Linked DNA regions of Ovis aries. Each later gene encodes a partner of the first gene's protein in a complex. Links are inferred from orthologs where the notes say so. Each region holds a gene or a part of one and is shown on either strand. Other genes may lie near its edges. The genes, in order: NDUFAF1, TMEM126B, ACAD9 and ECSIT.

Region 1 (4,417 bases):
TCTTTTTTTTTTTAAGGCATGTTCTTAGTAGGTAGATTCTATGTATCAGTTAAGATCTATTGGTTGCAAGAAACCCAACCCAGATAAGTTTAGGTAAACGAGTTTATACTTGGAAGTCAAGGAAAAGCCATGCAGCCCAGCCTCAGCAACTAGAACTATCAGTATAAATGCTGACTGGATCATCTTTTATCCTTCCATTTCTGTCCCTCTTAGCATCTTGATATTATTTTCTGTTTCCATAAACCAGTTTTCTTCACAGTACTAGAAGGTCACTCAGGAGCTCCTGCACCAGCATCACCTGGGGTCAGAAGGTCTCTTTTCCAACGTTAGTTCAGAAAGTCCCTAGGACTAACTGACTGACCCAGTACTGGCCAGCTTTCTACCACTAGATCAGTCAGCTGAAGCTGGGGGGTTGGGGGAAGGTGGGAATGGGGAAGTTGTGTAAATACTTGTGATCAAATGAACGGGATGTGGAAGAGAGGAACATCAAGCTGAGAAAGTATAAACTCTCTTATGAGGAGAAATGAGTGTGGTTTAGGTAGATACCACCTGGGATGGTGTTGGGCCACATCCCATAGGCCCAACCTCCAAACGCATGAAACAGCCTGGAAACAGGGACAGAAACATCAAGGATTTATTGGATAGGTGATCTGAAGCAAAAGGTCCTGGAACAACACCCTACTGAGGGCTGCAAATAGAACACAGCGATCTTCCATACTTGGTGGCAGGGAGAAAAAGGCTACCATTTATAAAAGGGGGAGTTGATGTCAGGTGGTCTCCTCAGTTCCGAGGGACTAATTAATCCTATACTTAAGAGACTGGATAGTCAAGTCAGTGAATCAAGCCCCCATGGGGCTGTACAGAAAGCAAAACAGCCATCTTGAATGTCCTGACCATACAGATAAGAAATTGAGGATAAGTATGAGTAGTATAGATGGAGTAGGAGATTATGGAGGGCTTAGAATTGATGAGTGGCATGTTTGGAGGCCAAAGGAATTTTGTGTTTATCTCTGGGTGATTTTTAAATGAAATTAGACAAACCATTGTGTTCAGAGTAAGGCAATCAGCAGACTGAATGTAAATTTCATAGGGCAATAACTATTGGGGTTTCACTGGATTTGGAAAACAAGAGTGAAAGATCAAAAGAGAGCAACAAAACAAAGAGGATTTAGGGTCAGTGAGAGGTTTCAAGGAGAGAAGCCAAGGATAGCCAAGAATTTTCAGCTTAGAAGGATGTGGGCATTTACAGAAACAGAAAGGAAGAGAAGAGTTCAAATGGGTAAGTGTGATATTTTCTGTTTTCAACAAATCACATTTGAGATGCTAGTGGTATATCCTGCAGCTGAACCTGTTGTCAAGAAATTGGAAATATATGTTGGCGTTCAGGGGAAGAAATTATCCGACTGTCTGTAGATAACTCATATATAAGCTAGAAAAGAAGAAGGAGAGGGGAAAAAAAAGGAGAAGAAGAAAAGAGGAAGGCCGAAGGCTAGGTTTTGGAGACAACCTGCATTTAAGGTTGTGGGAGGAGAAAGAAGAGTCAGTAAAGTAGGAAGCTAGAAAAGGTTCAAGAAGGTAGGAGAACCAGAATCAGGTAAGTGTACAGGCTAGAGAAGTCAAAGCAGAATTTAAAGAAGGAAGAGGTGATGGTGTGAAAAAAGAGAGATGGAGGAAACTTTGAAAAGGCAGTTGTACTTGGCGAGGTCTTGGACCCTGGAATACGTGTTTAAGTGCCCTACTTTTCATTCAAAGTCAGGTAGGCTGAGTGCTTCATTCCTGCTGGCGTTTTGCTAGGTGCTGAGAACAGAAGAACATCTTCTGGACCCGAGAGCTCGCAGCGTGGCAGAGGAAGTGAGAAGTGAATGAATAATTATAATCAAGATTCGGTGTTGAAAGTGCACAGGATACAATCGAAACTCTGCAGAGTGGGCGACCCCACGGGGCCAGATTGGGAAAGGGCGGGTAGGATGGTTTGCTGTCCAAGTTTGTGGTGGGTCTCCAAAGATTCCGCGGGGTCAATTCACAGAACCAATCCTCTGAGGCCGTGGACCTCTCTTGGGCGGCTGTGGGGATGGAGCGCGAGTGAACCCTGGATCCTTAGGTGCGAAGGATGTTGGCAATATCTGGGTCCTATTTGAAAGACACGGGATGGAGTTTGCAGCCTGAAGGTGGGATGCCGGAAGGAGAGGCGAAAATCTTCTCTAAATTCTCCCCACTTTCTCACACAGGGCAGAAAAAATCTGGCGGTTGGCGATCGGGGTGGGGAAGCCTTTGGGAATATAGCCGACCAAAAAAACCCCTCAGTTCATAGAGCTCTGAGATTATTACTCTTTCCCCCATCTGCACCCAACCGGAACTCTAGAGTCATCAGGCTTGGTTTTACTCAGGACAGGAAAAACAGATGGCCCCCGCACAGGAAAAGTGGAGTACCCGGTCTGGAAAAGCGGGGAGTCGAGCGGAAGTCACTCTGAGGCGCCGGCAGGGGAGGCAAGTGAGCGCCTGCTTGGAGTTGGCGTGTCGGGAGCTTGTGAGAGTGACACGGCCCTAGCAGGTGAAGGGTAAGGGGGCTGTGGCACGGTCACGATCGCTCCCCGACTAAACACTGGGACTCTGGGGTTACTAGAATAATTCTGGGGTTACTAGAGTAACTCTGGCCACTTACTAGTTGTATGACCTCGGGTGATTTAATTTTGGAACCTCCATTTGTTTGTCTCTGCATTTGGAATAATTATAGTACCTTTCTCATCGTTGTTGTGAAAATATCAATGCACTCAGAACGGTTTCTGGCATTTCGTAAGCTTTGGGTACACAAACTTCGCTAATACTCCTCTCTTTTAGCCGCTTAGGTTACACTGTCAGGAAAACTCAGCAACTTCATCTGGAGATCATCCAGTTAATGATTTTGACTTTATGTTTATCGGTAATAGAATGAAACAAAACACTTCAATTAAAGTTATATTATTAGAGAAGTAGTAACACTATTGATAGGTTGAAAAATAGTGAATAATATTACTTACAGTCCCGTTGTCCTACACACTATTCTAAGTCTTTTTCTTCTTTGCCCCCAAATCTTTTTTGTCCATACATTTTTATACTTGTAATGTTAGTGTATATGCATTTTTTGTATATACTCCTCATTTGCCACTCACTAGTGTAACATAAGCATGGTATTCATGAGAATTCGTGTTTATGATTGTACAGATTCCATTTTAAAGGCTTATCATTTATTTCCCAAATTTCTGTATATGTAGAGGTATTACCTGTGATTCCAGGACGTGAGATCAACTGTGGTTATTTCTCCTGGTTCCCTTCTACTTTTTGTCCATGTGAAAACGTACCGTTTACAAGATGTTCATTTATTTTAGCAGACATTTGAGCATCAGTTAGGTTCAAGCCATAGTCCAAGATTAAAGCCAGGCTACTGAGGTAGACAGATAAAAGCAAGATTCTAATAGTATGTAAGGGCTGTGAGATGTATGCACAGGTTCTCATGAGAATACGGAGGGAGAGCAGTGTCAGTGCCCTCCATTCAGAAGCCACCAGGAACATCTTTATAGCTGAACAAGTTGGGCTTACTATAGTGGAAGAGAATACATAAAGCCATGGGGCATCTCATTTAAAGGGTGTTAGAAGGGACTTATTGTTGGACTTAGGTTTCTGTTATATGATTTGGGGGAAAGTAGTCGAGAGATGGAAGTAATTCTATGATTAGGAAAGAAGCTTATGTATCTAGAATGAGGCTAATGCTATGACTGGTCAGGTATGGCAGTCACTTGTATTAGCCAGGATAGTAGAATGTTTGGTCACTTTTGTAATTTTTGAGTGATGTGTTTTTGTGTATCAGACATGATTGTAGTTAAGAGCTGAGGGTATTGCCCATGAAAGTGAGAAGTGAGACCAAGGAATTGGGTGCATTTTGAAGGGCCTTGTGTACCATTTTAGGAGTTTTAATTTCTGGACAGAATTGCTGAATAAGGGGAGGGCCATCATATTTAGAAAAATCCCCTTTGTTGCCAGTCAAATGTTGGATTGGCAGAGAAGGAGGAGGTCAGAGTCAGAGAAGAGTTAGGACTTTACTAAATCCTAAAAGGTGTTCTCTGCACCAGCAATTACCTGGGGACTTGTTAGAAATACAGAATATCAGGCCCCATCCTGTGCTCACTAAATCAGGATCTGCACTTTAACAAAATTCCCATAAAATTCAAGGCACTTTAAAGTTTGAGAAGCCTCTCCCCCCTTTTTAAAAAAATTTTTTTATCCATTTTTTGGCTGTGGTGGGTCTTCGTTGCCGTGTGTGGACTTTCTCTAGTTGTGGCGAGCCAGGGCTACTCTTTGTTGTGGTGTGTGGTGGCTTCTCATGTGGTGGCTTCTCATGTGGTGGCTTCTCTTGTTGCAGAGTATGAGCTCTAGGCAAGAG
Region 2 (3,298 bases), on another chromosome or scaffold:
TGATCAGTTTAGGAGAAATCAGCAAATGTTCCGTAGAATTTACATCCAGACAAAGTCCTTAACCCTTTTTCCTTTTTAGGTATCATACTGTTCCCCTGCCACCAAAAGGAAGGGTTTTACTTAACTGGCTGCTGCTTTGTCATACAGAGATAAAAGCAATGGTGATCCCTCTCATCCTTCAGACAACCTTTGGAATATTTCATGGTCTGCAGCACTATGCAATATTTGAAAGTACACTTGAGAAAACTGTACATGAAGATTAACTGAAGAATGAACGGACACTAAACCAGCTGAATGAACTTTTTTATAAGGACTCAGGCATTGCCGAAAGAGTTAAAAAATAGTTCTGGATAGACAGTTTGTCTCTTTTCCTTTTGCCCGGTATACAGCAGGTGCTCAATAAATAGTAAATAAATGTAGGTTTTTGTCTCTGTTTCATTATTATATGTGGAAATAGGCTTGAGGCCCCAAGGTCTAATCTATACATTTATATATTTATTTATTCATAAACATTTATGGAGCACCTGCTAGGTCTCAGGCATTGTGTTACTTTTAATAAGAAATGGTTCTTACCCAGAAGAAACTCACAATTAGAAATGTGAACACAGAGCGTGAGAGGGTTTGAGAGGTATACCTGTAATTGTGTGAGCATATTGAGGATGTAGCTGGTAAATACTTGTGCAGAAGGGAAAGCTATGGGGAAAAGTGACATTGTCCTAAATTTTGAAGGGAAAGTTGAAAGTTCACAAGAAATCAATATAGAAATAACCTAACAGCCCATTCCTCTAAACTCTAGTTCAGTATACTTAGTAGCTCTTTAATCATTAACAAATCATCTTCACTATGCTATTTAAAGAACATTTATTTGGGACTTCCCTGGTGGTCTAGGGACTTTTAAGACTCCATGCTCCCAGGGCAGACAACCTTTGGAATATTTCATGGTCTGGGTTTGATCCCTGGTCAGGGCACTCTTGCCTGGAAAATTCCATGGACGGAGGAGCCTGGTGGGCTGCAGTCCATGGGGTCGCTAAGAGTCAGACACGACTGAGCGACTTTACTTTTACTTTTCACTTTCATCCAGTGTTCTTGCCTGGAGAATCCCAGGGATGGGGGAGCCTGGTGGGCTGCCATCTGTGGGGTCACACAGAGTCGGACACGACTGAAGCGACTTAGCAGCAGCAGCAGGGAACTAGATCCCACATGCTGGAACTTATAAAGAGTTCGCATGCCATAACTAAAGATCCTGCTTGCTCCAATGAAGATTAAAGATCCTATGTGCAGCAACTAAGCCCCAGCACAGCCAAATAAATATTTTTGAAAGAAAGAACATTTATTGAGTACCTATTTTCTATTAATTAATACAGGTACCAGGGGTACAAAGATTCAGTCCTTGCCCTTAAGAAGATTAATCTAAACAAGGAGGTCACAGCAGGCTGCTTTAAGTCTGCTATAGCACTCCTGAGCTACACATTTAATTAAGGAAACTTAGTACCAGAAATGAACACTGATAAACAAGACATGCAATGGAATCTCATAGCTTTTTCTCTGTCTTAATCATGTTCATCTTGAGATTTAAGGATTTGGTCATCTGAGGCCCCAAGCAACCTAGAGCAGAAATGGAAATCTTAACGAGGTGCTTTACAGCATCAAATGTAACAATCTGAAACACATATACTCCTGCTAATTAAAAAAAACAAAAACAAAAACACGGCCAGTAAGCCATTCAACTTATATTCTCAGAATAACTCATGATACTTGAAACTGAGGAAAAGGCAGGTGAAAGGAGGGAGAGAGGGAACCAAGTCAAGTAGATAACTACATCAATGGTATTAATATTAACTCTTAAAAATTATTAAGCAACAAGTACATGAAAACCTCATTGTGAGATATTCAAATGATCCAGAAGAATAAAAAGACATGAAAGTCCCCCTTTACACCCACTCCATCCTATTTCTACTCCATTCTCCAGAGAACTACTAAGTTAGCACGACTCTTTCATTAATAGTCTTCTTTTATAATTTATATTTTTTTAAATAAATGGTATTATCCATACATATAATAGAAATTAATTTTCACTTCACTGTATATCTTAGAGAGCTCTCCAACTCATTTCATCTAAGTCTAATATGTGCTTTTTAGTGCCTAAAAAACATTCTTAGTGATTCCAGTATTCACATAGGTGACCCTTCTTTCAACACCCTGGTCTCTATCATACCACTTATTCCCGTGGTCATACTCTAAACCTGTGCCATCCAATATATAATAGTCATTAGTTGTTTGTGGCTGCTGAGCATTTGAAATGTGACTAGTCTAAAGTGAGATACATTGTATGTAAAATACACATAGTTTAAAGATTTACTATGTAAGATATCTCAATCTTGATTGCATGTTGAAATGTTACTCTTTTGGATACACTGGGTTAAATAAATAAAATACATTAAAATTGATTCTATCTGCTGCTTTTTTTAATCTGGCAACTAGGAAATTTTCAGTTACATACACATGTGCATGCTAGATCACTTCAGTTGTGTCTGACTCTGCGACTCCATGGACTGTAGCCTGCCAAGCTCCTCTGTCCATGGCATTCTCCAGGCAAGAATACTAGAGTGGGTTGCCATGCCTTCCTCCAGGGGATCTTCCCAACCCAGGGATCAAAGCCACGTCTCTTAGGTCTCCTGCACTGGCAGACAAGGTCTTTACCACTAGCACCACCTGGGAAGTCCTACATAACATGGCATGTATTTTTATCGAATTATGTTTCTCTAGACCTTATCATTATCAATAAATTCAAACACTTCACATTCTCAGTTATGAAACTCCGTATTCTGATCACTACTTCCTGTCCTTCCCATCTTTTGCTTCTCACACCACATTACTCCGGCTTTACCAGAATCTATAATCCATCAATCCCACTACCTTTCCACCGTCTCTCACCCCTCTCACATCCTGACTGTCCCTCTCCAGTTTCAGCTACATCAATCTTTTTAAAGTTTCCCAATCTTGAGGAAAAAAGAAAAACATAAAAGTGAATCTAGCTAAATTTGATTATGAAATAAAGTACTGGCCTCTTCTTTTGTGAGTTTTCAATTCACGTCTTTGACCCATTTGATTTGTAAATCAAATTCTCTGTAAATTCTGGGTATTTTGTTTCTTCAGATGCCGAGACAGTCATCTGGGAAATAGCGAGATTGACTTATATGTTCACTTCCCTTGCCAACTGAAAACAGAAGAGATTTGTCCCTTACTCCATGACTTCAATTTGCCTTTTATACGATAGAAAAGGTAGGGAAGTATGTCA
Region 3 (3,958 bases), on another chromosome or scaffold:
CTCCAGGCGGCCCCCTTGTGTGAAGGGAGCGTGTTCTGCGAGCCCGTGGCGCCCGCTCCCCTCGCTGCCGCTGAACAAGCCGTGTGTGTCGCAGGGGATCATCTTGGCCGGCAGCAAGGAGCAGAAGGCCAGGTACCTGCCCAGGCTGGCGTCCGGGGAGCACGTGGCCGCCTTCTGCCTGACGGAGCCAGCCAGGTCAGCCCCACGCCCCCCGCAGCCTCTCTGCCTGTCTGCTTCCTGCTCTCATCTCCACCGCCCTTCTCCTCCCTGGTGACCCCGGCAGACTAGAACAGGCCCGTCAGCTCCTGTTCTGTAACCGTTTTATGCTTTGCAACCCTCCTTATCGGCTTTCCTGGAGGCTCAGTGCTCGCTAAAGAACCCACTTGCCAATGCGGGAGCCCCAAGTTCCATCCCTGGGTCGGGAAGATCCCCTGGAGAAGGAAACGGCAACCCACTCCAGTGTTCTTGCCTGGAGAATCCCATGCACAGAGGAGCTTGGGGGCTACAGTCCGCGGGGTCCCAAGAGAGTCGGACACAACTTAGTGATTAAACCACCACCCTCCTTATACAAAAAAAGCATTCAGGCGTCACAGTCACAGCGACGTTCAGACTGTGTGGGGTGGGTGGAGTCATCCGCACTGTCCAGGCTGTGGACCGAGGTTCAGCAAGGTAGAGTCATCAGCCCAGAGTCTCAGCTGCTGTGGACTCAGCTTCCGACGGCAGGCTGATCTCAGAGCTTGGCACCGTGTGAATCCGCCTATCTCTGCTTGGGCCTCCCAAACGTCCTCACGGACAGTTTCACCCAAGGTGATAACGTGGGATTGGCCAAACCCACCTTGCCACCTGTTTTTGTGAGCTTTTACTGGAATGTACCTGCTTGTGCACACATTGTCTGAGCCTGCGAAGCTGAATGCATGTATTACCTGGCCCTTTAAGAGCTTGTCAGCTCCCCTGTTCCACTCTGAAACCTCCTCTGGGGGCCCTAAGGATGCTTGTCTGTTCCCAACCACCTGTGTCTGTCCCCGCAGTGGGAGTGATGCCGCCTCCATCCGGACCAGGGCCACGCTGAGCGCAGATAAGAGGCACTACGTCCTCAACGGCTCCAAGGTACGGCCGTGTGGCCTCCGTGGCCGGACCTTCAGCGCACTCACTGGCCGCTTCCCAAGCTCCAGGGGTCGTCGGGCCGGGCACACCACCCCTTGACCGTCTTCCTTTGTTGGAAGAAGAAGTGGGCTCAGAGAGGCTCCCTGACCCACCCCTGTCCTGTCCGCCTCGCGGCAGGATAGGTACCCAGGCCTCCCGGCCTCAGAGTCTGCGGGCTTCTGGAGCACCACCCACCTCGCTGAGCTGCACTCGTGGGTCTGTCTGCTAATTTTCTCTATTACACGCGTGTACTGCTGGGAACGTCCGCAGCTGCCTCCTACCTTCGTTGCTGCCTCTGTTGTGCCGCAGCTCTGGGTAGTGGCCGGGGCGGGCTGGGTGCGGTCTGCAGGGTGGTCATAGCACCGCTGGGCACGGAACACATGATGATGGCTTCTGGGCGTCCCCGGTGGCTCAGTGGTAAAGAGTCTGCCTACGGTGCAGGGGCCACAGGAAACGTGCGTTCAGTCCCTGGTGGGGGAAGATCCCCCGGAGGAGGGCAAGGCACTCCACTCCAGTACTGTCGCCTGGAGAATGCCACGGACAGAGGAGCCTGGTGGGCGGCACTCCATGGGTCACAGGGAGCCAGACAGGACTGAGGCAGCTGAGCACGATGACTGCTTACCGTCTCCTTAGCACCCATGGTTTTCTGATTGTCTCATACCTGTTCGGTGTTTTTTTTTCCCCCCAAACAAGTTGCTTGAATCAAAATCCAAGTAAGTTCTATGCAGAGCCATTTATCAAGGAGTCTCTCCCCTTCCCCACCGCCTCCTTCTACTTCCCTCCCCACCCCAAGGTGTCCTGTGCTAGAACCAGAACTGCCACACACACACACTGCACACACTCACACAGAGACCCAGACACACACGCCCCTCCAGGGAAAGCCTCGCTCTGCTGTCGTGCGCTGTGATGGGCGGCCGGCACCGACAGGCGGCCTGGAGTCGTCTGCTTTCTCTGGAGCCCTGCTGCTCTCTTTCCTCAGGTCTGGATCACCAATGGGGGACTGGCCAGCATCTTTACTGTGTTCGCGAAGACGGAGGTCGTTGATTCCGACGGCTCCGTGAAGGACAAGATCACAGCGTTCATAGTAGAGAGAGACTTTGGTGGCGTCACCAACGGGAAACCCGAGGATAAGATGGGCATCCGAGGCTCCAACAGTGAGTGGCGCTGTGCGCGTGTGCGAGAGATGAAGTGTGCGGCCCATGCACGTGTGTGCGCGTGCGAATGTGTGGCAGGAGATGTGTGTGCCTACATGCGTGTGTATGTGAGAGAAATTGTGAGCGAGGAGGGCGGTGATGACTCCCAGGTGAGGCTCCCGCTGCCCGGTGGGACGCCCAGCCTCAGGGGAGGCCGGGCTGGAGGGGTCCTGGTCACGGGGCTCAGGACCTCAGACCCCCGTCTTCCCCCCGGGGCCCCCTCCTCCTTCACTCCCTCCTCCTCGCCCAAGCCCGCCTGCAGCCCAGTGCGCACTTGGTTCACTTGAGGCCAGCGTCCTGGACGTGGCCCTTGGCCTGGCCAGAGCGGCCACACGGTCCTCATGGGTCCCTCAGAGGCCGAGGGGCTCAGCCTCTCAGCTGCCTCGGCTCAGGCCACGGGGGCTCTGAGCGAGTGAGCGAGCCGCGTGGCCTGCATGCGGGCCGGGGGCCGAGCGCCGGGGCCGCAGCTGAGCTCCTGGCCAATGTGTTCCAGCCTGCGAGGTCCACTTTGAGAACACCAGGGTGCCAGTGGAGAACGTCCTCGGGGAAGTCGGAGGCGGCTTCAAGGTGCGTCGCCTGCTGCCCAGGCCCGCGGAGCGGAGAGAACCGGGCTCCGGGTGTCCCCCGCCCGGCTGGAGGCCTCGTCTCCCTGGGGCGGGCTGGGTTCCTGCCTGCAGGTCTGGGAGGGCAGCCCGTGGAGGGCAGGGTGCACAGGGCGGGGTCCCGAGTGTGCGCCCTGATTCTTTTTCTCTTGGAGTTAGATTGTCTCGTTTTTTCGTTGACAGGTAATTCACGTGGCAGAATTTGCTGTCTCCCGCATGCTCGCTGTGGTGATTTTCAAGATGGTCACTGGGCTCAGCGCCCGACTCTGGGTCTGACTTCAGGACGTTGCCGTCACCCCAGAAAGCAGCGCCATGCCTTCCCCTCCCCGCGCCAGCCCCGCTGCCACTGCTGTAGCGTCTGCTTCTGTGGACCTGCCTGCTGGGGCGTTCCGTTGCGTGCAATCTGCGTCGGGATTCTCTCACGCTCTGTAGCCGAGTCCCAGAGGTGTCGGGTGAACGGACCACATCGTGTTCACCTGTCATCAGCTGGGGACGCCTGGGTTGGTTCGTTTTCAAGCCATTTGAGTCGCACTGCCGTGAACGCTCATGTGCGTGTTTGTGTGGGAACACTGCTTGCTGTCCTGCTGGGGGCACGGCTAGAGGAGCGCGGGGGCACAGGCTGACTGCACGCCGAGTGCTCTGAGGGCCCACCGGGCTCCTGCACGGTGGCTGCGGTTTCACGTTCCCACCAGCAGCACGTGGACCTGAGGGCCCCAGGTTTTCCACATCTTGCCAGCTGGTATGCTCGTCCTGTCTTAAGTTTTCAACCTGGCCTGGGGTAAAGTGTCTTCACCCTGGGGGAAGCTGCCGCCACCTGGCCTGTGCATAGGGGTCAAAGCAGGACTTCCCTGGCCTTACAGATGTTAAGAGACTCACCTGAGGGTGCCAGCCAGGCCTCAGCACCCGAGGAGTGGAGCAGAGTGGGGGAGGGTTTGCAGGGGGGCGCCCTGTGCGGCTGCCGCGCGGGGAGGGCCCAGGCTCCCTGAAGGCCGTCCCGGAGACGCCGTCCACTGTTGACAT
Region 4 (4,388 bases), on another chromosome or scaffold:
CTACTGCCAACCCCCCTTATTTTGTGCTATTTGGGTTGTTAGCCTAAAACCAGGGCTTTCTGGGAGCAGCCCAGGAGCCCCTCACACCACTCTGACCTCATATTCCCCTGTTCATTCCAGCCAGTCATAAAGGGCCTTTGCAGTTGCCCCTTGTACCCAGTGTGTGTGTGTGTGTGTGTGTGTACATGTGTGCGCATGGTCAATCATTTCTGACTCTTTGCACCCTCATAGACTGTAGCCCGGCAGACTCTTATGTCCATGGGATTTCCTCAGCAAGTATACTGAAGTGGATTGTCATTTCCTCCTCCAGGAGATCTTCCCGACCCAGGGATAGAACCCGTATCTCATGTGTAGGCAGGCAGATTCTTTACCATTGAGCCATCTGGAAAGCCCCATGTTGAGTCCCCTGTAATAACAATAGCATAGGGAATCCTCTGGTGGTCCAGTGGTTAGGACTGGAGGTCCGAGCTTCCACTGAAGGGTGCATAGGTTTGATCCCTGGTAGGGGAACTAAGATCCACACGCCAGGATGGTGCAGCAAAAAAAGAAAACTTTTAATACTCCCCACAACCCCCGTATACATAAGGTTATTATACTTGGCCCATTTCAGGAGTGAGACAATCAAGGCACAGATGGAGTAAGCACTAGCCCAGACCCACGAAACTAGATTAACAGAGCCTGTCTCTACTTGAGCTTCCCAGGTGGCGCTAGTGGTAAAGAACCCGCCTGCCAATGCAGGTTGGACTTAAGACACACGGGTTTGATACTTGGGTCTGGAAGATCCCTGGGAGAAGGAAGTGGTAACCGCCTCCGGTATTCTTGCCTGGGGAATCCCAGGGACAGAAGAGCCTGGTGGGCTGCAATCCATAGGGTTCACAAAGAGTGGGACACAACTGAAGCGACTTAGCATGCACAAGCACATCTCCGTCACTAATGGTAATGCTGACAACTCAGTGCCTGGCTCAAACATTTGTAGAACAAGTGAAGGAATCCACATCACTTCCACCTTTAATATTTCATTCCCACATTTCAGGTGGGAAAACTGGGGCCGCCCAGGTGTATTCACAAACACACACCTCCGCCCCTTACTCCCACCCCCACCCCCGACAAGTCCAGTCACTCCTTCCCCATGCAAACTCCTAAGTCCCCTGTGCTGTTGGCCTAAAGGTAGGGTCTGCCTCCTTACGAGGCGGGACCAAGGACTTTCCACCTTTCTATTGGCGTTTCTCCCTTTGGGGCGGGACCTCTCTAAACCGGCGGTCTTGATTTGCTGTCTCCCTGGCGGCCCGTGACCCGGAACATCTCTGGGCAACATGGCGGCGCCCAGCGGCAAGATAGAACGGGCAGGGATTCCGCGGCCAGCCGCGTGAATAGGTAGGTTGCACGTGGGGAGGCAAGCGCGAACTTCTGGGCACCTGGGAGGCCCGTTCTGGGCTGGCAGTGTGGGAGGGAGGCTTCGGAGGACCCCGGTTTCCGGGCCAGGGCACCATGACCTTTCGGCGTACCGGGCCGGGTTGTGCCGGCAAAAGCCGCACTCAGCTTACCTACCTCTCCACGTCCCTAATTTCCAGTTTTGCATATGAGACAGCTGAGGCTCAGAGAGATTAGAGCCGTCTTTCACGGTCACGCTTCAAGTCGGCCGCTAGGTTGGATTTCGACCCCGGGTCTGTCGCTGACACCCAAAGGAGTCAAAATCCTGGCAGCCAGCCTCAGAGCTGCTGTAGGTCCATCCTGCCTAGGGGTTCAGATTTTTAGAAGTTTGGTAGAAATTTAGCTCTTCCTGATTCAGCTGACACTTGTTGGGTACCTACATTATACCAGGCACTGTCCCGGGTGCTGGAGACAGCAATAAGGCAGACACACACACACACAGACACACACACACACACTGGAGACAGCAATAAGGCAGACACACACACACACACACACACACTGGAGACAGCAATAAGGCAGACACACACACACACACTGGAGACAGCAATAAGGCAGACACACACACGATACAGCAATAAGGCAGATACACACACACACACACACACAATCTTCCCAGGGAGTCAGACATTGAACAAATCATAAATAAGTGAAACATGTGATTTCAGATGCTAATAACTGCTTAAAATGCATTCATCAGGGTAATGGCAGAGACTGGTGAGCTGTCATCTATGGGGTCGCACAGAGTCGGACACGACTGAAGCGACTTAGCAGCAGCAGCAGCAGCAGCAGGGTAATGGGGCTTTAGATTGGGGAGTGGGGTGGTGATCAGGAAAGGCTTCTTATTTGACTATAGACCTGAATGCCTGAATGACCAGAGACTGATCTGGGGGAATAAATTTCTGAACAGAGAGAAAAGCAAGTTCAAAGGCTCTGAGATTAGAATAAAGCGAACTTGTTTAAGAAACAAGTATAGCTGGAGCTACCAGTAATAAGAAAAGAGTTTTGAGGGGCAGATTCTGATTTAATTTTGTGTGCTGTTTCAGTGATTTTAGGCAGAGAACACTAAATTTACTTTACATTTTAAAAAGCTCCCTCTGACCACTGCAGGGAGAAATGACTGGAGGCAGGTAAGGAAAGAAGTTGAGACTGGATAGGTGAAAAGAGATCATGGACTGGAGTGGTGGCCTGCAGATGCAGAGAAATGGATGCATTTAAGATGAATTTGGAAGCAACAGGAGTAGCTGATGAATTGGACTGGGGGAGTGAGGGACACAGTGGACTCAGAATTCCCAGGTTTGTGATTTTAATGACTAGCAGTGGTGATGTCATTGGCTAAGATGAGGAGGGACACGTTTAAGCAGGGATATGATTTGGAGCAAAATAAGTTTGAGATGGCTGGGGAAAATACCAAAGTGGCAGTTAGGTCAGGAGACTTGGGTTCAGGACTGGTGATAAACATTTAGGAGCATCAGCACATCATCATTTCTAAGACCTTAACACACAGAGGAGAAACCTGGAGTTTTGCTAAAATGCAGATTCTGATTCAGTAGGTCTGGATTAAGGCTGAGATCTGGCATTTCTAATAAGCTCCCAGATGATAACACAAATGCAGCTGGTCCCATAGATACTCTTTGAATAGCAAAGGTTTAGAATAAGGTCTTAATCTCAGGTGGGTGTTAGAGTCATTGTGGTGCTTTAAAATGCTAATACCTGGGCCCTACCTCTATATATTTTGATTCAGTATATCTGGGGTATGGCCTGGACATGGGAATTTTTTAAAGCTCCCAAGATAATTCTAATATGAACAAAGTTAAAAAACCATTAGCGCTGCCTACAGGAATACAGAGAGGAGAGGAACACCTCTTTTGGTAGTTGAATGATGTCTTAGGGTAGCAGACAGATAAATTCAGAACGTGGGATTCTTCACAGCCTTATTACTCAGAATTCGGTCTTCAGACCAGCAGCAATCAGCATCACTTGGATGTTTTTTAGATGTACAGTTTCTGGTTCCACTGGACCTGCTGAATCAGGATCTGCATTTTAATAAGATCCTCAGTGATTCATCTGCACATTCAAGTTTGCAAACATTGCAGACTTTAGAGAAAGAAGCAGGGCTTGCTGATTGGCTAAAAAAACAGGCCTGGGTGCTAGGAAGAAAATCAAGAGTGTCAACATGGGAGGAGGGCCTCACCCATGTGAGATAATTCTGAGAAATTGAGCAAAATGAGGCCAAAGAAATAATCACTGGCTTTGTTAAATGGAGAACACACAAGGGGTCTTTACAGGAGTGGTGTCAGTGGAGTGGCTGGGGCAGCAGCCAAGTAGGAAAGAGTGAGAAGGGAGTGTAATATGCAGACACCTCTTGGGAGAAGCCGTGCTATAAATGGAACAGAGATGTGGAGCAGAGGCGGAAGGAGATGCTAGAGAAAGTTTAAATGGTGGTAAGAGTGAGCCAAATACTTCCCAGCTCATTTTATGAGGCCAGCATCACCCTGATAACAAAGCAAACAGATATGACATGAAATGAAAACTCTAGCCCAGGTTCTCTTATGAATATGGATACAGAAGTCCTCAACAAAATACTTGCAACCCAATCTAGCAGCAAATAAAGAGAAATACAGCATGACCAAATGGAATTTATCAGAGAAATGCAATGAGTTTAACAGTTGAAAATTAATGTAATACATAATATTAACAGACTAAAGGACAAAATTCACATGAGTTCAATAGATGCAAAAAAAAAAATCATTTGACAAAATATAATGAATGCCCTTTTTGATAAAAATACTCAGCATCTAGTAATAGAAAGGAATGTCCTCAACCCAATAGGTCATCTGTGGACAATCCTATGGCTGACATCATAGTTAATGACGAAAGACTGGATGCTTTCCCCCTAAGATCAGGAACAAGGCAAGGATGTGCACTCCGGCCACTTCTATTCACCTTTGCACTGG

Evidence for each region.
Region 2: NDUFAF1 (region 1) and TMEM126B share a complex: the UniProt entries of both Homo sapiens proteins name them as parts of the mitochondrial complex. The link is inferred for Ovis aries from reciprocal best matches to the Homo sapiens genes NDUFAF1 and TMEM126B.
Region 3: NDUFAF1 (region 1) and ACAD9 share a complex: the UniProt entries of both Homo sapiens proteins name them as parts of the mitochondrial complex. The link is inferred for Ovis aries from reciprocal best matches to the Homo sapiens genes NDUFAF1 and ACAD9.
Region 4: NDUFAF1 (region 1) and ECSIT share a complex: the UniProt entries of both Homo sapiens proteins name them as parts of the mitochondrial complex. The link is inferred for Ovis aries from reciprocal best matches to the Homo sapiens genes NDUFAF1 and ECSIT.

What each region holds. Positions count from the first base shown.
Region 1 is NC_056060.1:35,045,423-35,049,839, reverse strand, and holds the start of NDUFAF1 (complex I intermediate-associated protein 30, mitochondrial), read left to right. Parts: upstream 1-1,542; 5' UTR 1,543-1,594; intron 1,595-2,464; exon of another isoform or gene 2,465-2,558; intron 2,559-4,417. UniProt on the Homo sapiens protein: As part of the MCIA complex, involved in the assembly of the mitochondrial complex I.
Region 2 is NC_056074.1:9,451,261-9,454,558, reverse strand, and holds the end of TMEM126B (complex I assembly factor TMEM126B, mitochondrial), read left to right. Parts: intron 1-79; coding exon 80-263; 3' UTR 264-2,447; downstream 2,448-3,298. UniProt on the Homo sapiens protein: As part of the MCIA complex, involved in the assembly of the mitochondrial complex I. Participates in constructing the membrane arm of complex I.
Region 3 is NC_056072.1:58,823,867-58,827,824, forward strand, and holds part of ACAD9 (complex I assembly factor ACAD9, mitochondrial), read left to right. Parts: intron 1-94; coding exon 95-195; intron 196-1,028; coding exon 1,029-1,107; intron 1,108-2,122; coding exon 2,123-2,297; intron 2,298-2,829; coding exon 2,830-2,903; intron 2,904-3,958. UniProt on the Homo sapiens protein: As part of the MCIA complex, primarily participates in the assembly of the mitochondrial complex I and therefore plays a role in oxidative phosphorylation.
Region 4 is NC_056058.1:13,601,002-13,605,389, reverse strand, and holds the start of ECSIT (evolutionarily conserved signaling intermediate in Toll pathway, mitochondrial), read left to right. Parts: upstream 1-1,290; 5' UTR 1,291-1,374; intron 1,375-2,131; 5' UTR 2,132-2,224; intron 2,225-4,388.